Linked DNA regions of Lonchura striata. The protein of the gene in region 2 interacts with the protein of the main gene of each other region in a pairwise test. Links are inferred from orthologs where the notes say so. Each region holds a gene or a part of one and is shown on either strand. Other genes may lie near its edges.

Region 1 (6,955 bases), on a different chromosome or scaffold from region 2:
ACCACAGCCTCCCCTATAAACACCAGAACATGCCAGCTGCAGAGTGCTTGGAAATCTGCAAAAAGCAATGGACAAACCAAGGTGTAATCTCATGAGATTTTGGCCTGTAATCTCTCATGAGATTTTGGCCTGTAAGTGACAAAGTAGATGTGTCAGAAATTAGAGTGATGGAAGCATGTGGATTCTGATCCCTGCTCTGTTTCCGCAAGGTAAGTACGAAATGAAATCACTCACATAAGAGGCTACCAGCCTTCCCTCTGCAACACCCTTGCTAAAGCAGATGCTAATCCAGCCAGGATCAAACCCCTGTCTCATGCACCACACTGCAGAGCTCAAGTTTCCCTTGGAGCCTAAGCTCTCTCTGTTGTGAAGCCAACCACAAAGAAATCCCTCACGGCAGCACTAAAAAATAATAACAATTAAAAAATTCAGCGATGGCAAAGAGATAATTGTTAGAGAGGGCACTGTTTTTACCTTTATAATGAGTTTTCCTAGCAAGTGTCAGAGCTGGCTGCCACATGCCTGTGTCCCAACTTCAGACACAGTTGTAGTGAAATACAAACACACAGCAAAGGGAGAAGTGCTTGAGGCTGATCAGGCTCCTGTTCTCACTCTAAAACATTCACCAACATGCTATTCAACATTTTAAAGGCACTAGGGAAGGACTCTAAGATAACTCAGGAAAGCTATCAAGATCACATAAGGGAAGGTGAAGAGTTGGAAGTGTAATGAAGTGGACCCTTCTCCTTTATATTAAATAAAAACAGACTGCATCCAGACTCCCAGAATGAGCTCATAAGTGAAAAAATTACCTTGCAGGAGCTGTACATAGCAAGAAGTCTCTGTTTGTGTCCTGTACAGGGTTCTTAGACACCATGGCCTTCTGTGCTTAAGTTGGTACACTGAACAAAAAACTCTTTTCACCCATTAAGACTTTTTGAGAAAACATAAAGCAAGATTTTCCTGCTACCAGGAGTGTACCTGCAGTGTCATCTGGAGCAGTAAAACCTATTTTAGTCACCTGAATCACCCCACTGGGCACTCAGTGGAGAGATGCAGAGGAAAGCACTTTTTCTAGAGTTCCCCGTTGATCCTGAAGGAAAAATCTAAGATTTATTTGTCACTTGATAGCTCTTCAGCTAATGTATCTGGCTTTGGTAATGCTAAGGTTTGGTATATTCAAAGCTACTTTAGGCACTTTTCAAATTTTTAAGGCATGCTGAAATCAGTCCCAGGGCTATACTAATGGAATAGGACCTGAATTACTTCCTGAGAAACCAAAAGCTGGTTTATTTTGAGAAAGTGAGAAGAGAGTCAAGTTGAGAGATTCTAAATCCAGTATTTGCACAGCACTGGCAGAAGAAAGGATTTGTTTGCTGTTTCAGTCACACTAATGTTGTATTCTGCCTGTTTCAAAGAATAACACTCATGCTAAGAACCCACAAATTAGCATCCTCAACAAACTCTTGAGAAGTTAACAAGGAGAAAACAAATCCCATTTTACTAACAGGTGCTTTTCAGCGATACTCTACTTCTTTGCAGAAATAATTAAAAAATGCTTTTGCTTAATCCCTAGAAGGCAGACCTTAACTGTGTAATCTAAAGAAATAATCAAAGCAAAATTAAACAAAATTAGCTGCATACGCCTGGAGCACAGTTCACTCAGGATTTAGACGACCTAAATCACAGATGGATTAGTTTTTCCTCCAATTGTGAGAATGATTTAAACTTTTGCTGACCTTTTGTGGTTAATTCAGACATTTCTCTCAAGTTTTCACTGCAGTCTGCTTAGTCAGTGAGCATAACAACTCCTCCTTCTGAAGAAAACAAAACTTCTGCCCTAGGAAAACTGTGGCATAATAACCAGGGATATACTGGGGTATGTAAGACTGGAATGGGGGTATATTTTTCTAACTAGTGACACATCATTCTTCATTGTATCCTCCCTTCAAACTTGTCACTTCAGTTATTAACCAAAGGCTTCATCCAGGACTACTCCTTTTGGTTTTGCTTTAGGTTGTAACAATGCCAGATGTCTGTGGGGGTGTTGGCAAAGGGAGATATTTGCCTTAAAACTATTAAAATGAAAACAATCTCTTGCAGTTAGATACTTGCCATTGCGCAAGCTTGTTCACTTGCCTGTGCTACTGACACAGAAAACAGTTGCCATACAGCTTTCATTACTTTTATGAAAAATAATGAGAAGCTTTAAGATAGACAAAACCCCTCCTCTATCTTCACATTGCTCACTCTCTCCAACCACAGCCACGCTGCTCCTCTGGTGGAGGAGGATCCCTCTCTGAATGTTTATCAGAGTCCTTTCTGCAATGCCTTTAAGATTTCAAAGGGAAAACATTAAGTTGCTTCTTGGCAAACGAGCACAAACCTTTGGAAGGCTCCTGCAGTACAAACAAACACTCATCATCGAGTAGTTTGGGGCAGACAAATTGCTCTGCACGTTCCGACAACGCTAAAGCAAAGCTGTAAAAAAGCTTCGACTTTATGTTTCAGATTACTGTCATAGCACCAAGGATGCTTGTTTCAAATTTTGCTTGCACTTTGCATTATAATGTGCAAAATCCTTTCTTAGCAGACATCTTACAATGAGCACGATCAGAGAAATGGAGAAGAGTTTCAAGATCAGACAAATGGAGAGGATTTTCAAGGTGCAATTAAGTGCGTGTTGGAGGAAGGGCTGTTCTCTGCAAGCAGCTGGCGTGAAGTCTCCCAAGTGACCCCCTGCAAACCTGACCTTTGCCTTGCCCAGCAGCAGCTCCTTTGGAGAGCCAGCCACAAGGCTGCTGCTCCCAAGCGCTCCCTTTCCCGACTTACAGCTCGGTGGTGTTGGCAGGGATGTCCCGGGGAACCTGGAGCACCTGGCTCTCCTGGCAGATGAAGACCCTGGCCAGGCAGCGGCAGGCGTGATGCTGGTGTCCCAGGCAGCCCGCCAGGAGCAGCAGCAGGCAGGCGAGGGCTGGAGGCATCTCTGCCTCCACGTCCGTGCCCATCCCCTTTATCGGAAAGGGAAGCATGCAGAGACCTCCCAGGCCAGCTCCCTGGATGGAAGATCCGCCCCAAAAGCTGGGACAAACCATGTGGCTCTTAGGGGATGACTTCTCGGCAAGCTCCGCTTCATGACCCCAGATTCCTTATGGTGTTGGAGTGGGGATAGAGATGAGCAAATGCTGATTTTTTCATGACACAAGTATTTTGTGTTTCAAGTGGTGTTGAAATCAGGGGGCCCAGCTGTACTAACCAGGGCTCTTTTAATATGCTGGGAAAAGGTTCTTCCTTCTCAGCTACACTATTTCTCATATCTTGCTTGGTGAAACCAAGGGACAGCAAAGCATTTTTACTTTCTACAGCCCAGACCCTTTTTGTCCCTGAAGGAGAAGCACTCTATTTATGCCACTATTTATGCTCCCACTCATGGATCCAAGGGCCCCTGCGTTTGTATTTCTCCTAGGCAAAAGTAAGGTGTTATTATTCTACATAGTCTGCCTAATGAGGTAAAAGACCTGAAACCAGAGCTAAATAACACCCTTTTTTTCACAACTGTGATTAATTTTCATGCAGTTGCTGATTCATCTCCCTTTTTCCTTTGGCATCTTTATTGGAATCCAAACAGAAGAAAACTCCAAAATCCAAATTGTCCCTGTGGACTGGTAAACTAATTTCATCATGTGGAACAGAAATCCTAGAAATATTGCCAAATGACTATTTGTGACACAACAGGAGGAAAACAGCCTCAAGATTATCATCAGAAGACTTGGATGTTGAATCTTGTCTTTGAGTCCCTATTTGTTTTCTTGACTTTTTTGACTGAGCTAAATTATCTCACTACAAATATTAATCCTTGAGAGAGGGGCCATGTGAACTCTTTGCTGTCACTGAGTCAAGCACCAGGCCATCACCTGAAACCAGAGCTTTTCTGGAAGACACCTGAAATGAGCATCTTGACATAAAGGATTTTGTGGCATTTTTTCTTTTTTTTTTTTAATTTTTTGAGTGTTTTGTTTGTTTGTTTTTCTTTTAAATTGTAAATAGCTGTTTCAGACACACAGAGGTTATAAATCATGTGCATTTTAAATACATGAGGGAGCCATGGGTGATTCTGCTGAACCTCACATTTAATTCTTCCCACTGCTTGGAAGGATTTCATAATCTTATTAAAAGCTGCTATTAGCTTGTTTGTCATGCTCTTTTAAATTGTTAGGTTCTTTCCTTTTCTTTCATAATCAAAAAGCATTAAAAAATGTAATGAGACAAAAGACAACATCTTTTCTTTGAATTATATGGCCAAAAATTTCCATCATTCTCACTTTTAAAACAAGCCTCATAATATAGATGTATCTTAAGATGTATTAACTAATTAATATTTTAAAATAATTACAATAATTCTTAAAAAGATTTACCCTATTTGTACCAAATATTTGTTATTTTCCACCCAGTCGTTAAAACCTACTCAAGATGAGAATTTATATTCACAGAAAAAAAAGAAAAAAACATGACAATCTTTTTCTAACAATGCTATTTTTCTAATGAGTTGTAAGAGTATTCTTTTAGTTGTATGTGTATAACAGAGTCCATTTTTCTAAGTTTCATGAGAATAACAGTGACTTCCAGAAAAAAGAATTTCTAAAACCTTACCGACTGACTTTTTCCTTATCTCTCTCTCTTCCCTTTCCTTTGAAAGATCTTAAACCTACAAGGTCTTCTGAAATGAGTAAAACCTTCAGTCACCTTCATCCCCAATGGGATGAGAACTGCAGAATTGCACCCTATGATCAAATAAATTCCCATTTAGTTAACATTTTGCTGTGGCCCACTGAAAGTTGGAATAACGACACACTTCAGGATTTAAACAAATGCCAGGAGGACAAAGCATTCAAAGCTTTTGGGGTTTTGTCTTTTCCATACAAAGTCCTTAACTCCTGCAGTCACAGACTAAAAGCAGGCTGAGAAAATCTCCAAAAAATGAAATGTGAAGTTTGAAGAATATAAAGGTACAAGAGTATTTGGATAAAAAGGAATTTAAGCTGTATCTCTTCATACTGAAATACATCAGTGTAAATGGTCATGTTATATTGGTGAAATGGATAGTAATATTTATGACATGGTTGAAAAAGTGGTAACATTCTCTGAATGTCAAAACAATTTTCACTCATATTAAGACATCACAATTTGATTAACTTTGGGTTTCATATATCAAACCACGAAAGTTGTTTCAGATGATAGCAATAATTCTATATATAAAAGTCAGGAGATCAAAAAATATCACAATGATTACAAGGCATTTTTCAAATTAATTAGGGGAAACCAAAACTATAATAAGTATGTTTGATTTTAATACAGCTAGTAAAACATATTTTTAAGAGGTATATTAAAATATTAAAATATTAAAGAGATATTTTTAAAAGAGATATTTTAAAACATCGGGCTGGGCTCAGTAGTAAATCATGAACATAATGAATAAAAATTGGAGGGAGGTTGTCTCTTTTCCATTTTTATCTGGTGAGACCATTTTATCAGTACAGTACACACTGCTCCACTTTCACTTACATCAGTTAAGAATGAGATGACAATTATTAAATAATATAAACCCCTTATCCAGACTTCAAGATTCTCTTGTAATACTGCACAGATAAGATTTTGATGGAAACATGCAAGTATCATTACATTCAATAAAATCAGGCTAGTATGCTAAACAAAACTGACATTTCATTCATATTGGAGCAAGCACTAAATCAGGACCACACTAAAACTCCCTGAGGATACATGAACATTCAGAAGGATCTCTGAGTTGTTTTAAATATATGATCCAAGCCCTTAAAGAATAGATTCTGGTGTCTATTCATGTTTTGAACTGGGAAACTCTGTCCTGTTTCTGCACATGACTGTCAAATGGCACACAGCCACATCAGCACAGTCCCCTGCATGGATTAATCAGCTGGTGATCCTCTCACTCCCAGTTCAGGAGCACAGTTATCTCCTCTTGAGAAGAAAATTCTTGTAAAAGAGGGGAAAAAAACACTTTCTGGTATCTTTCTGTGGATTTTGCACTCCCAAGTAATTCCTGAGTGCCAGATTGGAGCTATGACCATGCCTGAAAACCCACAGGGCCTGTTGCAGGGGACCACCATCAGAGAATCATGTGCTAGGAGCAAGCCTGCACTGCCATTGAGATTCATGCTGTTGAATGTGTAAATGCAGAGATGATGGTGCTTTCAGATATTTATGAGAGCCTTATCTTTGCATCCATTTGCAGAACTATGCTCCAGCTGGCAAATTGGTCTTGAGAGTGTAAACTGTTTTCCTGAGTAAGAAAACAGAAATTTCCCCAAATTGAAGCACTGTAGCAACAGAGATGCAATTAAGTGAATTACGACAGATATTCAATGATGGTGTTACAGATTATGAAATTAGATGGTGTCTGAGACAAACAGTTAATTCAAGGTTATGCAGTCAACAGGGGATCTTTCTTAAGATGGTAGTTAGGGAGTCTGGTTGATAGGACTGGCCTTTAAAGTCAGCACTGGCCTCTAAAATTAGCTCTGGTTGAATTTTACAAACACTGAGCCCGAGGAACCAAGGGGATCTACAGACTTCATCCTCTGACCAAGCAGCAGTGCCTGTCCTGGGCCATGCTGTCACCTGGATGGATGAGGTTACAGTGGGAAATAAAATGAGCCATCCCATCTCTCTTTCGTTTGCCCTCGATAAACTTTCTTCAAAGAGAGCTCTGAGCCCTTTCACTGCACTGTACATGTGGCCAGGTCAGCACCTAAATCCAGCTGTTGGATTTTCCTTAAGACAGGAAGGTCACCAGGTGCTGGAGTGCATCAACCTACAGGCAAGCAAATTCACAGCAGCATCTGCTTGTGTTTCTCTCCTCTGAAACACAGCATGACAGCTAATTAAGCAAATACTGTTTCTACTGATGTTTCCCAGCCTC
Region 2 (7,482 bases):
TTGGCAATGTTTTAGCAAAAGGACCATGCTTTGTTTCTAGGATTACACTAAAATTTATGTCCAGGAAGAAAATTTAAATAATCATAAGCACATAATTGATTTTCCCCCCAAACTATGATTGTTAAACACTTGAAATTGGAAATTATATTTTTTAGTCTACTCTAGGCTGTCTTGAAATTACTGATATCTTTAGTCCATCTCCCCTTGAAGCATGAAGGCCTTTTTCAGCTATTTCTGATTTTTTGCTTTTAATGATAATCAAAGAGTACATATTAAACCCATATAAAGTATATTTATTTAACAATTCTTTTGACATAAGATATTTTTATCTAAGTTGCATTATTAAATACCTGGCTGTATCACAACTACTGTCAAGCTATAGAACATCTAAAAGATATTTAAACATTAAAAAACATCATCAGCACAATAAATAGCTTTAATGATGGTTCTAATTTATAAAAGAAGTGGAAAGAGGTGGAGAACTCAAATCTTTGCCAGGTGTGGCAACATATGACATCCTAACAGCCTTGACTGCGCCATTAAGGTAGACATACACGAAAGAATGCAAAAGGAAAAATTACATGGTACTATAACCATTGAATTATATACTCATGACCTTTAAACCTGAACATAAATAAACCTAAGCTTGTAATTTTAAAGGAGTATTATGTAAGGTTTCTAGATTATGCTTACTCTTTAAAACTGAACATGGAAAAAAAAATTTTATGTTTTACTTTAAAAATGTCTGTTATTGATGCTCAACTGTTAAAACAATATCATATTATACTAATGGAAAGAAATTAATCTGAAACTGTAAATACGTTACAGCAGATCACTTGTATTTCTAGTAAAACTCTGCATCATTTGGCATTTTCTTTCAGTGTCTTTCAATCCGTGTTTGTGAGCAAGCAAGGAAAGGACCAGGAGAAGCTGCACGATGAAACCCCGCGTTAGAAGTCAGCTTTAAGCTGTCTGTGCCATCAGCTGGAGGGCACTGCAGGTGACAGGAGACAGAGCCTGTGCTACCAGTCTTTTGGCTTGTTTGTTGTGCAATGCTTCGGGAACGCAAATCAGTGTGAGCAGAAACTCTCCAAATACACACTGACTTCCTGTGTAATACATGTCCTAGGTTAATAAGTAAATTGCCCTGTTTTGCATAGCAAAGACTATGTAAACTTGGCGTTTGGTTTGGGCCTGACAAGCACAGTGGTTAGATTTTGATCCTGTGACAACAGGAAATGAATGGGTTTGGACATTTTGAAAAGCCTTTCCCTCCCTCAGACACAGAATAAGTTTGATATGGCGTTTATATACCTACAGTCAGTGTCTGAAACAACAACTCCAGGCCATGGTGCAGCACTAAACAATCACCCAGGCTGATGGGCTTGGCAATATTCAGCATGAATGTATTCAAGTCATAGCAACTCCTCTAGAGAGGCTTCTGCTTTCTTCAAGCAACATTTGCTGCCATTTCCACCACGTTGACTTCAAAGTAACAGAAATTAACTAATGTAACAAATTAGTTAATATAGCAATTAACTAATGTAACAGAAAATCACTGAGCGCTTACTAGAGAACCCGGCTCCCAGAATTCATCTGAAATATTAAATTGACTGAAATATGTAAATTTTCTACCTAAAACAAAAAACAATATTGACAAATCCAATTATTTAAGCATCTCAAACACAACGGGCTGAATTAGCCTTTGCTTGTCTGTATCACAACTAACCTCACATGGAAGATTCTAGAATTATAACTGCATTCCAATAAGTAACATTTTCTCATGTGCTTCCCAAATGTTCTCAGATAGTCCTAAATTCATGTTACATTTGACATTTCCTATAAATACGAATAGTTCTGACTTCCTCATACTAAGAAAAGACCTTCCAGAGATAATTTTTTAAAATCAGTATTATTATAAGACTTTCAAAATTTTTTCCTCTTCATGAGATGACAGCAGGTTTGGCCCCTGGACCAGAACCCAGATCTCATCTCATATTCAGCATTTGAGCTATCTGGGGCACTGTCCTTGGGAAATCAATGACTCCTTTTGTGCATGGCCTTCTCCTGCCTTTTTAAAGTCATCCTTCCACTTGATAGAGAATTGTTAAAATAATTTTAACTTTAGGGACTAAAGTTCCCTTCTTAACAAGCGAAAGTTTCTCTTCCTGTGAGCAAGGAATTAAAACTACCAATGCATATGCTATTGCAATAAAGGACACCCTGCTCACAACGTAAACCATGCACCACAACAAGGATCTTAATTCAAAAGGCTGCCATAAAAGAAAACACATTGCAAACTTTTCCCCACATCTAAGAAGCACAGCACAAGGACCTGCTGTTGCTGCTGCCAACAAGAGAAACCAGAGCCACTGAATAAAGCATTTCCTACTTTAGAAAGAAACTCCAGTGCTAGAGAGCATCGCTGACACAGATCAGGCAGCAGCTACGCAAGAGAAGAATCGGAGCAGGAGAGGCCTCCGGGCACCGTGCGCTTCCCACCGCCGCGACAGCCTCACCCAGAACCGCTTCTCACGCGGCTCCATTAAACCTTAACGCGCCTTAGCGAAAAACAACGAGGAAAGATCGTTTTGAGAAGGCGACACGGGTTTTGTGGGCACGAGGTGTCCGAAACGGAGCCTGGGAGTGAAGCGGGGGTGGGGATCGGAGCCCCGCTGCCGGCCAGAGGCGCCGCGGCCCCGCAGCCCCCGGCCCGCGGCTCTCCCGGGAGCTCAGCGGGCGCTCGCAGGACGCGGCCGCGGCGGAAAGCCCGAGCCGAGACCGCCGGAGCCCCGCGGGGCCGGGCGGCAGCTGGGGCGTCACCCGTCCTCCCGGCTCTCCCGGGGCCGGGAACAACACGGAGGCAGCGCTGGCCCCGATACGGCCTGCGCTGGGCCGGTCTCACCTGCGGGCTGTCCTCCAGCGTCTCCTCGATGGGCAGTTTGTCGATGCCGGGCATGGCGGCGACCGCGCTGAGCGCCCGCGGCTGCGCTCCCCCCGCCAGCCCCGACCCGCCCCCGCGCGCCGCGCGCCGGACGTCCCGCCCCCCGCGCGTCCCGCTTCCCCATTGGCCCGCCCAGCTTCCCCGTTGGCCCGCCCGGCTTCCCCATTGGCTGGCGAGCCTGCCCGTTCGCGCGCAGGCGCGGGGGCGAGGCGCTCGCGCTGCCCCTCAGGCCGGGGCTGTCGGGGCTCGCCTCCGCTGAGGTGGCTGCCGGGACTAAAGTCCTGCCTGCCGAGCAAAGCGTCCTCCCAGCCCTGTCTGTGCTCCGGGGGCTGCTGGCGTCTTCCCACAGACAGTTACCTGGAGGGCCGCTCCACAGCAAGGGAGCGCTGTTGGGTCCCTGCCGTTCTGGAGCGTCTTTGGCACTCTTGCCATGTTGTTTGGAGCACCCCTTTTGGCAAGTCTCCTCTTATCCCCGCCATGTGGATGGGCCCCAAGTGGACGCCATCCTCTTCTACTGTGCTTGCAGTGAGACGCCAAGAGGCCTTAAGCTGAGACAGGAGAGATTCTGATTAGATGTTAGAAAATAGTATCTCTGCTCTCTTAGACTGAATAGTTGTGGTGCCATAGGTTGGTGGCAAATTTTAAATGCATAAAACTACTGTGAGGGCTCACTGTAATCAAAACAGATCATTGGTTGGACTTGGGAACTGGTTCAGCTCTGAAATTACTTCGAATTGTAGAATCCTTAAGGTTAGAAAAGACCTGAGATCATTGAGTCCAACCCTTAATCCAGGAGCCCGTGTTCACCACTAAACCACGTGCCTGTGCCACATCCTCACATCTGGACACTTCAGGAGTGGTGATTTTCAGTGCCACCCTGCCCATGGAGAAACTGTTCCCAATATCCAGTCTAAACATTTCCTGGCACAACTTGAGGCTGTTTCCTCTGGTCCCGTCCCTTCTTGGACCTGGGAGAAAAGAATGATCCCTATCTGGCTACAACCTCCTTTTCAGGTAGTTTTAGAGAGCAAGACCTGGTAGACTTGATGATAGTTCTTATCTGGCGGGAGAAAAAAAAAAAAAAAAAAAAAAAAAAAAGGCTATTCCCTTGCTGGTTTTGCCTTTTTGGGGCCAGGTGAATTTAGTGAAGACCAGATTAGAAAGCATATTAAGTATATTCATTCAGCAGAGCAAATGATCAATTATTGTGGTGCAGTCTTGCTATGAGACCATTCTTTATGTTGTATCAGGTTATGATTTACCATTAAAAGCAGATAAAGGACAGGACGGGTGTGTTAAATTGCAAACAAAGATTTTTGAGGTGGCTTTTGTTTGTTTGTTGGTTTGGGTTTTTTAGGGGGTGGTGGGTGGTTTTGTTTTTGGTTGTTTTTTTGTTTTGTTTTTTTTTTTGCTGTTGTGTTCTTTGTTTTTCCCTGTAGGGAGTAGTAAAGAAATTTCCAATACTGTTCAGTCAATTAATTTACCAGCTCAGCTGGTGACTCACCTGACTGAAGCAAGTCACAGCACCTCTCCCTTTCCCTGTCAATAAGGGTAATAATTCAGTGTTATCTTACAAGGTGTTTAACAGACTAAGTCCTGTCATGGACATTAACATATCATGATGTATATATATTTGTGCTTTCTGGTTTTGAGACAGTTAATTTGTGACCAAGCTTTACAGCAGTCTTTACAGCAATAAGAAATTACTTTGTTTTGTACTGTAAGATCATTTTCCCAGTGGAATTCAGGAGGTAGTAACTTTAAGTGGGTTTGGTTTAGTTCGCTTTGTGTATTTACAGCTGTGAGTGGCATCCAAGAGTTTTACTTGAGCTACAAATTTGACTGCAACAAATGTAAGAGTAATGAGTTGAAGAATCCCTCTGCATCCTCTAATTGTTGTTTTAGTGTTACACCGTTTTCAGCATTGTAGACCTTTTGTTAGTGTGAGTGGGGTTTTTTATTGTTTGGGCTTTTTGATTTGTGGAGTTGGGTTTTTTGTTTGGTTTGGGGATTTTTTTGGGCAGTTGTTGGTTTTTGGTTGTTATATTTTGTTGTTGTTGTTTTTTCTGCAAAATATCTTCTAAGAAGCCTTAAAAATATGGAGAATTAATACTTGGCACTTTGTCAACAGAGAGAAGAGCAGTGAACATGTCTTCAGAGGATTCCAGAGGTGTGCCATTATGGGGAGAACATTTTGCCTCTGCTGGAGGGTGAAAGTAGCTCTGTGGATAAGGTAGGTTTTATTTGCAACGTTTCCCACTTTTTAACACACTTTCTTATACTTTTGCTAGTGGCAACCTTGGATTAACCTTGAATTTAGCTGCATTCACTTAATCTTCCTGTGTCAAAGTAGCTTTTACTTCAAGAAATAGCTAACTGCTTTGTTTTGTGAAAATTGGTGTACTGTTTTGAGGTATTCTTGCTTTAAAAAAACTTGGGAATTCTGAAGTTGGCTTTGAAAATAATACTTGTTATTTGTGTTAAAAACATATTTGAAAAAGAGCTTTATTGCAGCATGACTTCTGAGGTGGTGAAATACTGGGTAAAGAGGTTGTGGGAAAGGTGAGGTGAAAAGTGAATTTTTGGAGTGTGATAAGTAATCAAGAAAGATAATATATACCATTTATACCCTTTTAAAAATCTGAAAATGTTGCCCAAGCTCTAGGGAAAGGTGACCCAGCAGTGCAGTAGCAGTGGTGAGAAGAGCAAAAAGCAGCAAGAGTAAGAACTGGGCCTTCAGACCAAAACCCCAAGAGCACTGGTGTGGTTTCCTCAGCTGGAGTAAACAGCTGGTGGAGGCTTCCCATCTCTGGAGAACGAGACTCCTTCTCCTAAAGAGATGAACTCCACTGTCCCTGGGTGAAAAACAGTGGTGCAGAGTCTGAAAGGGAGATTAGTTTCCTGCCTCATCAAGTATGTGATGCTGTAAGAGGATTGGATTTGCATATCCAAAGGAGCAGTGCGTTTTCCTATTATTGATTACTTAGGATTCCCAACTTAATGTTTGCTGTGTTGCTCTAATTACCCCTACCAAGGTATTTAGTTAAAGTCTATAGGTAATTTCAAATGGGTTGCAAGGTAGTATTGGTCAATACTAATGGGCCAAACAATGAAATACAGTTTCCAAGAGAAGGCTTAAGGTCCATAAATGGTGACTGGAGCTCATCTTGCAAGCGAAGATTGCAGGCGGATGCATGCTGCTTCAAGATCCATTGATATGTGTGAGAAGTGTCCTTGGTAAGATCACTTCTGGAGTTGTCACTCTTTTAATAGTTCAGTTTGACAACAATCTTCCTGCACAACACAAAGTCAGGCCAGAAGGTGGGGTTACTTTTCCTCCCAAAATAAAAATATTGTTTTCATTTTTGCCTGTTACTTTTGGACAAATCTTGATTTTATAGTGTCTCTACAGAAATTCCTCCTTTTCTTGTCCTGAACCAAAAGCTGGTTTAGAGCATGTGATGTAAACTGCTGTGTGACTGACAGTTGAGCTTGAATATAAAAATGTTATAGTCTGTATTTTATTATAATGGATGAAATCAGAATTCTGTCAGATTTCATTGCAAAGACTTTATCTCCTTTCTTCCCATTACTCATAATTGTTTTTATGATTTTAAGTGTTGGCTCCGTACGATTTAAATATGCTTCTGTTTGCTATAAACCTACAAGAAGGGAGAGACATCAATGAGAAAAAGCATGCTTCTAAACCTGTAAATTTGAGTGTACTACTTCTATTACTTGAAACTTTGCCTTTATGTAGTGAAGAATTATCAGGAAATTTCATATCTGCTATGTTTCAAAAAGGCTGCAACAAAGTTATTTTAATAAGAAAAATGAATGCATGAATTATTTAAAATAGTTGGTGCAACTGTTCCTATTAACTAATCCAGGCACTTGGAAGGCAATTACACTGAGCTTTGACAACACTGCCAACCCACTGCACAGTGCCTTATGCCAAAAGCTATTGTTGTTTTATTGACCACGTTCACCATTACATATGCATATGAAAAAACAGAGGCATTTTCATCGGGATTACCCTAATAGCATTAAGAGATTATTTTTTAAATTTCCTTGGAAGGAAATTCACTTAAATAAGATTACTTATTACTTGACTGGTTTCCTATCATGCTTCTATGCTTAGGTAAGTGGAGTCCATTAGAGTATAAAGTTTTTTAAAAAACTGATTTTATACATTAATGATTTCAAATAAAAGAGAAGTACTATATTTGTGCACAGCTTCTTTTGAGAAAGTGAAGTCGATGCTCTGGTTAGGAGAGATAACACTCTTTGTCCCCCTTGGTGGCCCCCCTAGTGTCACCATTAGTTGCTAATTACTTGCAAACAAATAAACAATTAACTCCTCGTGCCTCTTGGTGGGAGAGTTTTCATTGACATGCTAAAACTTTCTAATAAAAGATTTTAATTAATGACGTTACAAATCCAACCCCCTTGTCAACATGGCTATAAGGAGGACTTGTGGAGAAATGCAAGTACAGTACTCCTGCTATGCTGGCTGAGGGCGAAGGCATGGCCGGTCC
Region 3 (7,037 bases), on a different chromosome or scaffold from region 2:
ACCTGGTACCCTGCGGGCATCCCCCGTGGGCATCCCGGCGCCCAGCGGGCATTCCAGTCCCTGTGGACATCCCAGAGCCTGGCACACATCCCCGACACCCAGCAGACATCCTGGTACCCTGCTGGCGTCCTTACACCTGCCACACCTCTTTGTATCCTGTGGGTATCACCTGGCAGGCCCCCCCAGCACCCTCTGGGCACCCCAGCACCTGGCCCTTAATCCCTGAGCAAAAAGGCCCTGGGAGAGAACCGAGGAGGAAGGACAGGGCTTGCTTTTCACCAGTATCTCTACAGGGAGATAAAGGGCATCCCGGGTGTCCCAGCACCTGCTGGGCATCTTGGCACCCTCTGGGTATTCTGGCACCCTCTGGGAACTCTGACACACCCTCCGGGCAGCAGTATCTCAGCAGGGAGACGCTGGTGATCTAACCTAAGTGCCATAAGGTGGTTAGATCACAGGGACAGCTTGGTTCCAGGGAGGATGTTCTCCTGCAGAGTAAAGGCCGTCCCTTCCCAAAACAGCCTTACCAGCAAGAATTGTCCCTAAACAGGCAGCGAGGCTGCTTGGCATGTGTCACTTTGCAAAAGTCCTGCGTGTTTTGCTGGGTGATGTGGACTTGCAGAGGTGCCTCAGTAGACATCTGAATAGTGATGTTAAATAGGAGAGGCTCATTTTGACACCCAGGCACTGTAAAATCTGCGGGCTGTCAATATTGTGACAGCCAAGGCCCTGGGCTGTTGTGTCCTAAAAAAGCAATCAGTCCTCCTTCAGTGCCACTTCCTGAGGGAAGCATATCAGAGCTCCAGCAGGGATCAGAGTGCAAAAACACACCCGGCTCGACTCCTGCTAACGAGCAAACAGCCCTTACTTGTCCCCATTATAATCCCCCTGCCGTCAGCCCGGTCAGGGGTATAATGTGATTGTTTTCATGGCTATTTGTGGCTACCTGAAACCCCACCACTGCTCTTCAGCACATAATAGCCCTGAAGAGGGACAGTTTCCATCTCCACATATGATTGTGCCCATTACTGTATCTATATTTTATTAGTGGCTGTTGCAATGTACATTAAGGAGATGTACATTTATCGCTGTGCTGGATAAAGCTCAGCTTTGAAACCTCGAGAAGACATGGCATCAGATTAAATGAATCAAAGGGCACCTTCTGCCTTTCTCAAAGGCCTGATTCTGCTCCCACAAAGGCACAATTCTCCCTGGCTACAGAGGGAGAGGAGTTGCTACCTTGTCCACAGCTCCAAGTGGCTGGATGAACGCCCTGGGGAAATGTGTCATACTCCCCCCTCCAGCACAACAATGGTCAGAGGGTGAAATCCTCATGCCAGAGACACTCATGCTCTAGAAGTTCTGAATGCTGCCTATCAACTCTACAGCTTGTCCTAAGAGGTCAGGGCACGTGGATGTAGGTCTGTGTTCCCAGGAGCACATCCCTAGAAACCGCTGTAAATCCACAGTGGCACTGAGTGGGTATTTAAACTGCCTTTCCCTGTGGGGCATGATGCTTTTTAGCCACCCAATGGTCCCTTTTAGCTCCATTCTGTTTCTTATCCCTGGGGTTGAAGCCAAAAATGCTCCAGCAAGGAATCACATTAAAACACTGCCTTTCTCATTAACAGGATGCTGTGGGGAGAGATTAAATGCTGGGGTGGAGGCTGGCTTGGCCTGGGAGCAGGCAGGGGCTAGAGGGCTTCACTGCCTGCAGCTCCCTGATTTGGAGGCAGGACAGGGTTAGTTTGTACTTCTCCATCCCTCCAAGCATCCTGCTGCCCTGCCACCCACACCCAGGGGCAGTGAGGAGCTGGGCAGAGCTCCCAGTGCACCCATCACCCACACACTGCCTGCCCAGCATCGTCTCAGCTGCTTCCCAGAGCTTTAGGGCCATTTGCAAGATTGGAAAATCCCAATCTTGAAGAGAGGGTTCCAGAATGTAGGAGGTGAGCACAGGCCACCTTTATCCTGGTTGTTTTTCCTAAATGGAGAAACCTTGGAAGGTGAACTGAAAGCCAGTTGGTTGATCCAGCCAAGGCAGAGCAGTCTGAGGGAGAGAACAAGAGAGAAAACACTGCTCTGCTGCTCCTGGAGTGTTTGCTGCAAGAGAACAAATTAGGCTGAGGATTTCAGGCATTTTTGTGATATTCAAGCCAGTGCTGCACAGGCAGGAAGGTCCAGGAAGAGAAGAGGCAGAATGTGTTGTGCTAAAAGATAGGCAGTGAAGGCTATTTTGGATTCCTTTAGTCCTTTGCCTGCCAGAGCAGCAGGACCTGCTCAAAAAAACTTCTCTGTTTACAAAATCTCTGCAGACAGAGGGGGAAAAGCCTTAGAGTCAATGAAGCCAAATATTCTGCTCATTTGCATACACTAATGAGGGCTTCTAGGAGCCATGAAAAGCAAGGCCAGGCTTTGATGTCAGCTGGAGAACAGCTCCCAGCATCGAGCAGTGCCAGGGTGGACCCCCACCTGTGCCCAGGCTGAGGGGTCTGCAAACAGCACAGCCCCCATCAGTGGGGAGGGGAGGTGATGCAGGGCAGCCCACAGTGACTGAGAACTCGGGGAGGATGAGGTGCAGTGTCCCCCCACCACTGGGGCTCAGGGACAATGCACTGCAGCCCCCCCCCATCTCCAGGGACCAGGGGATGATGCAGCTCAGCATCCTCCATCCCTGGGGACGATGCAATGCAGCCTCCCCTCCCAATCCCTGGGGTTCATGGGATGATGCAGTGCAGCCCCCCATGCCCAGGGACCAGAGAACGATGCAGTGCAGCCCTCCACATCCCTGGGGATGATGATGCAGACCCCCCCCCATCCTTGAGGATGATGCAGAGCAGCCCCACACCACTGTGGGTCAGAGGAGGATGCACTGCAGCCCCCATCCCTGGGGGCGATGATACAGTCCCCCCCATCCTTGGGGATGAAGACGCAGTCCCCCCATCCTTGGGGATGAAGATGCAGTCTCCCCCATCCTTGGGGATGAAGATGCAGTCTCCCCCATCCTTGGGGATGAAGATGCAGCCCCTCCAATCCCTGAGGGCGATGATGCCGTCCCCCCATCCCTGGAGATGATGCAGAGCAGCTCCACACCCCTGTGGGTCAGAGAACGATGCACTGCAGCCCCCCATCCCCGGAGGCGATGCTGCAATCCCCCCATCCCCGGGGGCGATGCTGCAAACCCCCCATCCCCGGGGCCGGCGATGCAATCCCCCCATCCCCGGGGGCGATGCTGCAATCCCCCCATCCCCGGGGCCGGCGATGCAATCCCCCCATCCCCGGGGGCGATGCTGCAATCCCCCCATCCCCGGGGCCGGCGATGCAAACCCCCCATCCCCGGGGCCGGCGATGCAATCCCCCCATCCCCGGGGGCGATGCTGCAATTCCCCCATCCCCGGGGGCGATGCTGCAAACCCCCCATCCCCGGGGCGATGCTGCAATCCCCCCATCCCCGGGGGCGATGCTGCAATTCCCCCATCCCCGGGGCGATGCTGCAATCCCCCCATCCCCGGGGCCGGCGATGCAATCCCCCCATCCCCGGGGGCGATGCTGCAAACCCCCCATCCCCGGGGCGATGCTGCAATTCCCCCATCCCCGGGGGCGATGCTGCAAACCCCCCATCCCCGGGGGCGATGCTGCAAACCCCCCATCCCCGGGGCCGGTGATGCAATCCCCCCATCCCCGGGGCCGGTGATGCAATCCCCCCATCCCCGGGGCCGGTGATGCAAACCCCCCCATCCCCGGGGCCGGTGATGCAATCCCCCCATCCCCGGGGGCGGTGATGCAATCCCCGTTCCCGGGATCAGCAGACGAAGCCGCCCCCGCCCCAGCTCCGGTAACGCGGCGGGGCCGGTCCCGGTCCCGCCAGGCCCCGCCCCTTTCCCGCCCGCCGCGGTGGGCGTGGCCTGCGCCGGCTGTGGGCGTGGCCTGTGCCGGCTGTGGGCGTGGCCCGCCGGCCCCGCCCCTGGGCCGTTACTTGCCGCCCCTCCCCTGCCCTCCCCCTCCCGCCGGCCGCGCGCTCCCGCTCACCGGCGCCATGGCGGACCAGCCCGAGGAGGGGGCACCGGCACCGCCGGCACCGCCGGCTCCACCGGCTCCCCCCGCCGCGCTGCCCCTCTCCGCCCCGCCGGGCGGCTCGCAGCGCCTCCTCTTCTCCCACGACCTGGTGTCGGGCCGCTACCGCGGCTCCGTGCGCTTCGGCCTGGTGCGCCTCATCCACGGCGAGGACTCGGAGGAGGACTCCGAGGAGGGCGGGCGCGGGACCGCGGCCGGCGGCGCCGCCAGCTCGGGCGGCTCCGAGTCGGGAGGCCCCGGGGCCGGCGGCGGGGAGGACGGCCGCGCCAGCCCGCTGCGGCGGGGCTACGTGCGGGTGCAGTGGTACCCGGAGGGCATCAAGCAGCACGTCAAGGAGACCAAGGTAACCGGGGGCGGCCTGCGCGGGCCCGGGGCCTCCCCGCGGGGCTGCCGCCGGTTGCACGACCGGGGCGCCGCCTCCGGGGCCTCCCGGGGCAGGGCCTGCGGGGTCGGGTGCGTTGGAGGCTCCCGAGCGGGGGGGAGGTCGCTGCCCCGTTTGCCCCGTGCAGCCAGAACACACAGCCGGCGTTCCCCGGAGTGTGAAATCCCCTTCCCTCCCTTCGCCACGCTCGCTCTGGCCGCCCAGCGTGGATGCTGCTGCTGCCCTGCGCTGATGGCAGAGCACGGCTGCTGTGCTGAGGCGGTGGGGCTCGCTGGCGGAAGGAGAAGTGGGCCTGTGAAGGTGATTTGAGCCAACTTCCAGACAGCTCCTACTTGCTGGAGTTGTAGGCCGGTGTCTCAGCCTTTACTGAGCAGTGTCGTCACCGCCTGTGCTAGGGGGAGTCAGCAGTCCAGCAGGGAAACCACCCCTGGATAAAGGTTTCAGCAGGAAGCAAACACGGTTTGGATCTGCCCTTGTTTACGTGAGCATTTACCCCTTGCTAATGAGTTGCACGTAAATCTGTGGCATCTTAATTATATCTGACGAGGCACAAGGTGTGGGTCTGCCTTGGAATACTCCCACTTGGCAAAGTTGGTCTGGCCGGGGGTTTTTTAGCCCAGGCTGACTGACAGTTCGGAGACAAAAGCAGGCGAGGGGGGCACTGTAATAGAGCACAAAGGGGCTGCCAGGGATGGGCGTTGCACTGAGCTGCGCTGTCCCTGCAGGCTGCCCCTGCTCCTCTGGGCTGGCAGTGCAAAGCAGGAGGCTTCTGGAGAACCGTCTGCTTTGCAGAAGGCAAAGAAACGGCCCCGCACGCCGCAGGAGAGAGGGGAGACTGAGAGGAAGAAAGGTGTGTTGCAGTCTTAAAGGCATCGCTAGGATTGCCAGCGCTACAGAATGAGCTAAATTTAGGTGGTAGTGTCATTAGACACGTGACTGCTTGGAGATAAGGAAAATGAAAACAGGTATTCTGAAAAAGATACTGCCACGTTATGTATTTCTACCTTAAAAAAAAAAAAAACCACCTCTTTTCCCTAGAAAAAACTCCACAATTCAATCACTGCAGCCTTCCAGTAAAATCTTCATGTGTTGTTGCAGCAAAAATGTGTCCCAAGTTCAGTTTGGTTTTCAGCATCTAAGCAAAGCCACTTCCATTTGGGTGAGTAACCGTGGATTTAGTTGGTGCTGTTGGGTTCCTAAATCCAGAAGTGTTAGCTCTGACTTCAGTCACTTGGTAACTACACCCATTGCAGTGTTAGAAGAAGCTGGACTGAGGGGGATCAGAAATCAAAGACACTTATGTAAATAAACAGTCTCTGTTTTTCCTTTTAGTGCTGCTGCCCTGGTGTAGGTGCCTTTACCACTCGGGTAATGGACCCTGGAGAGAAGTTTCCTGAGTGCTAGAGAAATTTAGGTGTACTTCTATTGATTTTTTTTTTTTTGGAAAGCAGCCCACTAACTAAATTGAGAGGCATTGTGTACAGTCTGTACTGCAGTTTGGGGTTGCTGAAAACAAACCTGATGCCACTGGAAACATGCAGTGGGACTGATCATGGTTTTGTGGTTATAATTGGGTTTTTTAGCTGTTTGCTGACCCAGTCTCTTTTGGGTTCCACTGATGTGTGAGAACCAGCCAGGTAAGCCTGACAGGCTTGTCATTGTCCTTGCTGGTACAAACCATTATACGTTTTTCCTGGGTCTAAAGTTTTTGGTGCTGTTGCCTACAGGTACATCTTTTGGCTGTGCCTGATTCTCTGGCATCTTTGGCTGTGAGGGTCTTATTTGATGTCCTTAAAACATTAACCTGTCCTGGTGACAGCTCAGCCCTGGACTCCAGAGGATGCTTGTTGCACTCTTTTATTTCCCTTAAATCTGGAATGGGCAGAGGGTAAAGGTGCTCTTGGGGCCAGGGCTTTTGTGTATCTATTTAGTGTATCAGGTCCTGATTCCACACAGAAGACTGCCTGTCTACCTCCTGTTTGTCAGCTGCTTCAGGATCTGGGAATCCTGATGTGTACTGGATAGAGCAAGTGTTGTAACCGAAGGAGAAATAAAGTTGTTGGGAAGTTTGAGTCCAGTGAAACAGCACCTTTGGCTTCCAGTGCAAAGGTCAAAAGCAGTGTTCTGTACCCAATTAATCCTTGAGCTTTCCTGTCTTTTCTTGGACAGTTTGGGGTTTTTTTGGTGTAGGTTGTCCAGTAATTTTTGCTGTTGGTTCTGTTTCAATGCTTGCTGTTGCTCTTTCCTGTTGGGAATGGTAGGCAGAATGCCACTTAAACCCAGGCACACAATTACTGATATTAGTCAGTAATAGAAACTTTCTCTTGAGATAGAGCTCGGCAGTTGGTGCAAAACCCCACCAGCTCCTCCAAGAATTGCACATGTGAGCACATTCCTGCCTTTGGTTCCCCTGTTGATAACAATGTTCCCCAGCATAACAATTATGTGAATAAAAAGAGACAGGATTTCTTTCTCTGTGGCTTCAAGTGCTCCTTTTCTGCTTTCCATGGCAGTATCACCCATTTAAGACATTGGGAAATCACTGTCGCTGAGCATTGTAAAACCTAAGCAGACCTGGAAG
Region 4 (7,737 bases), on a different chromosome or scaffold from region 2:
GCTCCAGTGTCACAGGACATGCAATGGTCATTTGGGCTGTGCCTGTCCTTTGAATGCCCTGCAGGCTTGCAGTGGTGCACATAAACAAAGGCCAGCAGAACCACCTGTATCCCAGCCACAGCACTGTCCACTTCCTGAAGAATGATACAACTTCTGGGACCATAACCCATCATTTCCAAGGAAACACAACAACAAATGCAGGAGAAAGTCATTAATTTTTCTAGTTAACAGTGCCAACCCAACTGCACAAAGGTGACTCCTTTCTGACAAAATACCGTCCTTGAGTGTATTAAAGGTTAAGCTAGAAAAAGGAGACAAGAGGAAAGACTTTTCTCCTTTGATAAATTTACTTTGCATTTGATCATCCACTGTATGGGCTTACTGCTTATTCTAAACATAGGATATTTCTAGGTTTTTTCAAGAAAAAACAGGGTTACCTTAAAAAAAAAAATTAAAATTCACAAAAACTGTTAGGGAGTTTCAGGAACAGAATTAGCATCTGAGGCTATCTAAAAATTATTTCTGATTACTTTTCAAACATTAAATTAATACTGTTCTTGTAAACAGAATTTGCTGGATGCTTTCATCCCAATTACACCCTCATCTTTTAGAGCTGAGGATTATACTGTGAAAACTTTATTTGCAATAATACCTGAGGGCTATTGTAAAATTAGATGGAACAACTGCCACACTCATCAACAGTATGGTATCACATAAATTTGCTAACTCTCAAACCTAAGTTTGGCTGTTATGTGACAGCCCCATATCATTTTAAGCTGTCTGAAGCCCACCCTCATAAAAAAGGGCAGAGTGGCCACTGCTGCTTTCAGAGAAGGTAAGTCTGTAGACACAAAGCCAGAGTTCTTTTGTAACATGTATTATGACTGGTGCTGCCCAGCCACCAACAGCTGCAGAGATGGGGAGCACCAGCACCCCAGATGGGTTTTGCTTCTGGCATGGCAATCTGCTTTAACAACATGGCTTGGGCTGTAAGGAGAATTTGGTTGATCCCACTGGCAAATGAAAGGCATGCTTTCTTTGTATTTCTCTATGTGGGTGTCCTGAATGCCAAGACCTAACCCAAAACACACTGGTTTGTAACTTATAAGGGAAGGCCTCAGAAGCATGATGCTTATCCCAGTACTGCAGCTGCATATGTTTTTCTACATTTCCTGTAATACTTATAGTTTGGGATAAACTAGAAAAAAGAGATAAAGAAAATATCCAGGAAATTTTCTACATACAAAAACTCTCAGTTTTCCAAAGCCTAAAAGGATTGCTAAAACACAGCATATCTGTGAAGGTAAATTTGAAATAAATTCATGTCTATACTAATTACATCCAAAAGCACAGAACTATTTTAGTTCTTTGCAATGAACTGTAAATTGCATCAGATGTACAACTGATGTTAATACTCAAATGCATATGCAATAAAACATGAGTTAAATTAGAAGTGGCAATTGAAGCACTTTTGCCAGAGACATGTGGAATATCTACATGGCAGTTGTTTTAAACACCTACCATATAAATAGCAACCTGTGAAAAAAGCAGGAACCCTGTCATGATACCTGAAAGGAGGTTCTAGTAGTGGGGACTAATTTCTTCTGTGTGACTGCAGTGAGAAGACCAGAGGAAAGGGCCTTAAACTGAGACAGGGGAGATTCAGATTAGATATTAGGCGGGGAAAAATACATTGTTATGGGGGTCAAGCATTGGAATAGGTTACCCAGGGAGATGGTGGTTACCATCCCTGGAAGTGGGCAAGAGACTCCTGGATGTGCCTCTGGGTGAGATGGTTTAGGGGTTACAGTAGCAGTGCTGGGTGGACAGATGCACTGGAGACTAAAGGTCTCTTCCAACTTTAATGATTCTATGACTAAATAAATGGCTGATAAACTTCAAAAACCAGTATTAAATATAGCTGCAAGTTACAAAGTTAAGTTTATTCTGCAGTGGCAAAAATTTCAGCAAAGGAAGACATGTGGTTTAAATAACAGAAATCATCTTAGAAACAGATATTGAGAGAGGAACAATTCAAACATCACTATAACAACACAGGCCCTGGTACGCTAGCACAGATGTACAATGACTGCAATTGTCTATAGTGATTTCAGAGAATCACAGAATGTTGGGGTTGGAAGGCACCTCTGAAGATCATGTAGTACAACCTTCCTAACAGGTGACACAGGAATGTATCCAGGTGGGTTTTCATTGTCTCCAGAGAGTGAGACTCCACAAGCTCCCTGCACAGCATGTTCCACCTTTTCTGCTATCCTTAATGTAAAGTTGTTTCTCACATTGAGGTGAAACTTTGGTTTCTAGTTTATGGCCACTGCTCCTCGTCCTTTTGCTGGGCATCACTGGACATGCTAGCCTCTTGTAATCCACCTGTGATATACTCAGATGCATTAATGAGATCCCCTCTCAGTCCTCTGCTCTCCAGACTGAACAGGCCCAGCACCCGCAGTCTGTCCTCATGAAGACAGATGCTCCGGACTCTAAATCACCTTCGTGGCCTCTGGGGAATCCTCTCCAGTACATGAATTCTGACTGCGAATGTATACAGCGATTCCGAGGCAACCCCCTGCACACATCACTTGTTGCTCCTTTCCAGCCCCGACATCCATTCCCCGGCAGCACCCCCCTCCCCCTGCGGCACACCGGGGCGCGCACACCGCGCTGCTGCGCCGGCCGAGCATCGGAGCGCTGGTTTCGCTTTCCCCGTCGCTCGGGCCTCCCCTCCCCGCCCTCGGGCCCTCCACAGCCGCACGGCCGAGCCCGGCAGGCACCCCCGGGCAGTCGCGCCTTGGGATCCCTGCCGGAGCTGCGGGCAGGCCCGACGCGGCGGGACCCGGGAACCGGCCCCGAGCGCCCCGAGCCCGCCGCCCGCGGGCCGTCCCCGGCCGGGGACCCGCTCTCGCCCGCCCCGCGCGGCCCCGCCCGCGCCGAGCGCCAGGCCCGGCCGAGCCGCGGCCGCCGCCACTCACCGCCCGCCCTGCGGCTCCGCTCCGCCGCGGCTGCGCCCGGCGCGGGCGGCGGGAGGGCGGGGAAAAGGGGCCTCGCCGCGGGAGGAGCGGCTCGGTGTCGGCAACATGGCAGCGTCCAGCCGTGCCCAGGTGCTGCGGCTGTACCGCGCCCTGCTGCGGGAGAGCCAGCGCTTCAGCAGCTACAACTACAGGTGCGGGGAAGGGCTCCGGGGGCGGCGGGCGCGGGGCACGCCGCCGGGGCGCGGGGAGCGGCGCACGGAGCTGCGGCCTCGGGAGGAGCCGAGCCGTGCCCTGGAGCGACAGCGGGACCCGCACCGGGCCTGGGCCCGGTACCGGGCCGGGCCCGGCTCGGAGCGCAGGGAATGGGCAGCCCCCGGCCCTCTGCACTGCCGCAAAAGCACCAGCGGATGGATGTTAGGAAGAAGGGACAGGACAGGTTGTCCCAAGTACTTGTGCTGGGAGTGGACTCCTCAATGCACGAAGGACAAGGAGCTGCTGGAGAGGGTCTAGTGGAGGGCCACAAAGATGAGGAAGGGTCTGGAGCATCTCTCTTCTGAGGAGACACTGGGAGCTGGGCCTGCTTAGTCTGGAGAAGGGAAGACTAAGAGGAGAGCTCATTAATACGTGTGAATGTCTCGGGGATGGGTGTCATGGGGATAATGCCCGACTCTTCGGTGGCAACAGGATGAGGAGCAAAGGCCACAAGCTAAAGCACAATAAGTTTCACTTCAACATGATTAAGAACTTATTAACAACGAGGATGGTGGGGCACTGGAACAGTCTGCCCATAGAGCTCGTGGAGTCTCTCTCTCTGGAGGCATTGAAAACCCATGTGGATGTGGTCCTGCTCAAGGTGACCCTCCCTTGTCAGGGGTTGGCCTAGATGATCTCCAGAAATCCATTCCAATCCTAATGATTTTGTAATTTTGTGAACCTGATATAGCTCATGTCTGCTCCGTGTGTTGCCGATTTCCTGGCAGAGGAGAGCTGGGGTCAGGCTATTGCCAAAACTTGGCACCATGTGCTGTGTCCATGCTCAGGGTGCACTGAGGAATCAGAGTTCACTCTTCCGACCAAACTGGATACCAGGCTCTCTGCCTGCCTTCTCTGGCTGTGAGTGAAAGGCATGCACATTTTTTTGGCAAAAGTTAGGTGTAGGCCTGGTCACTTTAGCTATCCGCTGTGTTCACAGGGGGTGCTGCTCACCCACACTGACAGAATTGCATTGCCCAATGGTAGTTCGTTTACTTTACCACTCAGCTGGACCTCGGGAAGGGATATGTGAGCTACCTGTGCTGTGAATCATCTCTCAGGCAAGAACTGGGAACAGAAGCCTTTAAACTTGCATAATTGTGGTGAGCTCTTTGCTCTGCAAGGCACAAGTATTCTACAAACCTCAGGTGTGAGGGAGTGCCCTGAGAAGAAGGACTATGGGGCTGAAAATGAGCTGGTGCTAATAAACATTTGTTGCTGACTCCATGCAGCAATGTGTGTTTGTAACACATTCTGTTGCTATCAAGGCTTTCTCCTGCTCGTTGCTGTCCTGAGTGTCCCTGGTTACCCTTGTTCTGGCTAACAAAGGCAGGATTGTAATCATGGAGATGGGTTGAGATGCGCAGTTGGCAAACAGCTGAATGAAGCTCATATCTGGGCCGTGGCGTGTTTCCAGCAATGGGTTTGTACTTTGGGGTGAGCAGTGAGGAAGTGAAGTCCACAGCAAATTGTAAAGGATATAAATGATATGGTGTGTTTACCAGGAAGATCTGGTTTTTTTGACACCACGTCACAGTGCAAGTTGCGCCTTTCCTTAAAGGATAGATCTCTGGTTCTGATGGGGCTATCCTTAGATACTATAAAATCAGAAACTGTCTAAAAACTTATGCTGTAGACACGTTTGTGAGCATGAAAAGCCATAGCAAGAAATGTTCGGCAGCTGTTACATTTAGAGGTCTGTTCCGACCAAAACAGTTCTGCCTCAGTGTTTACACCACACCCATAGGTAAAAAGGACACCCCATTGGCTTCTTGCTTGCCAAGATAAGCAGCCCTGCCGTGTCCTCAGGGCTGCTGTAATGTGATATGGCAGTTCATGGAGTTAACCCAAGGACTTCGTGTGAAGAACCAACTTGCAGCCAAGTAGAAGGTATTACAGACTATTGATTCATGACTTCAGCTAGACAGTATCTGAATAGTTTATTACTGCAAATTGTGTATTTGTAAGAGTATGTCTGGAGTACGATCAGCTAATTAATGTCTCTTTATTTGTTTACTGTGTTTTTTCTCCTAATTTGGTTGCTCTGGTTTAACTTAGCAGGCAGCTAAACACCACTCAAGTGCTTGCTTGCTCCCGCCTATCCCTTGGGATGGGGGAGAGAACTGAGGGGGAAGAAAAAGTAAAATTTGTGAGTTGAGATTAAGACGTTTTAATAGAACAGAAAAGGAATGCATAATAATAATAATAATTAGAATATACAAAACAAGTGATGCACAGTACAGTTGCTGTCAACTGATGCCCAGCCAGTTCCTGAGCAGCAGCCCACAGCCTACTTGCAGGTGGGTTGATGTGAGAAGCTGAAAACTTCCTGACTTAGTATAAACCCTGCTTGCTAAGATATTGTCAATATCACTCTCATCCTAAATCCAAAACACAGCGCTGTACCAGCTACTAGAAAGAAAATTAATTTTACTTCCCAGACAAAACCAGACACATGTATGAGTAGATGGTGATAGAAAATTCAACTTTTTTATGTCTCTCTGAGTAAATATATTCCTTAAAGTAACTGTCTTAAAGTAACTGAGGTCACCACTGTCAGCCTTCGGAATAACACAGAAGCATCTCCAGTGTCCCGAAGTAAATGTCACAGGGTGTTTGGACACCCAGAAGTGTAGGCCAGCTGTAGGCCAGGTTTTAACAGCAGGGAGAGAGAATTTGGTAGACTGTAAGTAATTTCATGTCTGCCCTTCTGCCCTATTACCCAAGCAGACAGTCTGAGCATGGGCGAGTGATTTGTACTAGAGGAAAATCAATATGCAGAGAGGCAAGACGTTAGGTTTTGTGTCAAAGAGCTGGTTTTTAACAAGTGTACTATTTTCTTCTGCTTGGTTGACAAAAAGTAGAACCTCTGATGGTTTATATGGTTTATGTTGGATTATAGTCTCAACTAAATGGATTTAAGTGATATTTCTAAATATCATTAGTGATTTAAATAATGGCATGTTGTGACTGATTTGGGTACAGAACACAAAAGAATTTATAAACTTATGGAAGCCAATAAAACACATATGGTTGCAAATTAAGATAATCAAAACTTTAAAATTTCTTGTTTGTTTAATGTGACTGAATCTCAGTGGTCTTAACACATGGGAATCTCTTGGAAGGCAGGTCTCTCCAGGGCAGTGCAGAACTGGAGCAGGTCTTCCCTGAGAGAGTTTGTCATCTCCTTTTTTGAAGGTTTTCATAATAGGTTTATCCAAAGAGCATCATGGCTAACCTCACCTTGTTGCATGCAGATGTCAATTATGACATTGACCTGGAAAAGCTCCAGAGTCTAGCTAACCAAGTTAGTATGATTTTCAGATCCCTAGCCTTCCTGACCCTATAAAGGTACTAACAATGGGTAATAAGTTCAGGGTAACATCATAGGACATGCTTCCAGCTCATCTGCTTTCTGTTTCTTTAATTTCTTGTAGTTATGTGCAATGTCAGAAGGTTTGAGCCTCTCTGTTGGAATTTATCTGCAAATAATTTTTTAATGTTTTTTAATGTAATGATTTATTGCAAATTTTTTTCAGTTATCCATTATGTTCTCTTTTAAGTGGTGGAAGTTGTATTTTTATTTATAGATACATTTCTTTCTCGTCTCTCTAAATTGCATTTTAATGGAATTTGATTTTTCTTTTAGAATGTGCACTATTATTTGACTAATAAAGCTACCCAGAATATAGAAGAATCAGGGAAGAAAATTTGTCAAAACAAATTTGTTGATTGGTTTTGCATTGGAAACAAGTTAACTGAATGCATGCAGTTTCATCTGAAACATGTCCTTCAAGATTTTAAAACTGGTAAATCTGATTTTTGTAAATGACTGCTAACCTAGGAACAAAACTGAGCAAAATAATTTGCACTGGTCTTTTTCAGTGCTAGTTGCTTTTCCTACTTTGACTGACACAGTTGTTGATGTGATTTTAGGGATTCATGGAACACAGAACCACAAAACGGTCCCAAGATTGCTGCCCCTTTTTCTTGTGGGGACTCAATTTACCAGATGTCTGCTGGGAATATAATTCCACAGAGAGAAAGGAGTCTAGAAGGTTATTGGAGTGTGTGGAAGATAAATTCCTAATGCAGCTGGTGAGGGAACCAAGTAGGGAAGGTGCCCCAATGGAACTGTGGTTTGCCAAGAGAAAAGGACTGTTGTGTGATGAGAAGATTGGAGGATGCTTTGGGCACGGTGGTCCTGAAATGAGAGAGTTATCAATTCTCACAGAAGTAAGGAGGGGCATCAGCAGAACTGCCCCCTTGGACTTCCAGAGGGCAGATTTGGGCCTGTTTAGGAGACCTGTTGGGAGAGTCGCTAGGGAGACAGTCATGGAGGATAGTGGTTTCTAGGAAGGCTGGACATTCTTTAGGACAGAAATCTTCAAGGCACAGGAGCAGGCTTTCCCCATGTGCTGGAAGAGCCAGCAGGGAAGAAAACCAGCCTGGCTGAGCAGAGAACTCTGGAGGGAACCCAGGGGAGGGAAAAAAAAAA

Evidence for each region.
Region 1: the proteins of APPL1 (region 2) and FSHR interact in a two-hybrid assay, tested with the Homo sapiens proteins (2 studies listed by BioGRID). The link is inferred for Lonchura striata from reciprocal best matches to the Homo sapiens genes APPL1 and FSHR.
Region 3: the proteins of APPL1 (region 2) and UBE2O interact in binary tests that used the Homo sapiens proteins (3 or more experiments, as listed by UniProt). The two-hybrid records come from large-scale screens. The link is inferred for Lonchura striata from reciprocal best matches to the Homo sapiens genes APPL1 and UBE2O.
Region 4: the proteins of APPL1 (region 2) and FARS2 interact in binary tests that used the Homo sapiens proteins (3 or more experiments, as listed by UniProt). The two-hybrid records come from large-scale screens. The link is inferred for Lonchura striata from reciprocal best matches to the Homo sapiens genes APPL1 and FARS2.

What each region holds. Positions count from the first base shown.
Region 1 is NC_134605.1:20,629,209-20,636,163, forward strand, and holds the start of FSHR (follicle-stimulating hormone receptor), read right to left. Parts: upstream 3,012-6,955; 5' UTR 3,009-3,011; coding exon 2,833-3,008; intron 1-2,832. UniProt on the Homo sapiens protein: G protein-coupled receptor for follitropin, the follicle-stimulating hormone. Through cAMP production activates the downstream PI3K-AKT and ERK1/ERK2 signaling pathways.
Region 2 is NC_134614.1:12,167,047-12,174,528, reverse strand, and holds the start of APPL1 (DCC-interacting protein 13-alpha), read right to left. Parts: upstream 3,022-7,482; 5' UTR 2,960-3,021; coding exon 2,906-2,959; intron 1-2,905. Other genes in the region: HESX1 (homeobox expressed in ES cells 1), read left to right, coding at 7,451-7,482. UniProt on the Homo sapiens protein: Multifunctional adapter protein that binds to various membrane receptors, nuclear factors and signaling proteins to regulate many processes, such as cell proliferation, immune response, endosomal trafficking and cell metabolism.
Region 3 is NC_134621.1:4,067,277-4,074,313, forward strand, and holds the start of UBE2O ((E3-independent) E2 ubiquitin-conjugating enzyme), read left to right. Parts: upstream 1-4,036; coding exon 4,037-4,417; intron 4,418-7,037. UniProt on the Homo sapiens protein: E2/E3 hybrid ubiquitin-protein ligase that displays both E2 and E3 ligase activities and mediates monoubiquitination of target proteins. Negatively regulates TRAF6-mediated NF-kappa-B activation independently of its E2 activity.
Region 4 is NC_134603.1:94,003,335-94,011,071, forward strand, and holds the start of FARS2 (phenylalanine--tRNA ligase, mitochondrial), read right to left. Parts: upstream 3,022-7,737; 5' UTR 2,988-3,021; intron 1-2,987. Other genes in the region: LYRM4 (LYR motif-containing protein 4), read left to right, coding at 3,093-3,178. UniProt on the Homo sapiens protein: Is responsible for the charging of tRNA(Phe) with phenylalanine in mitochondrial translation.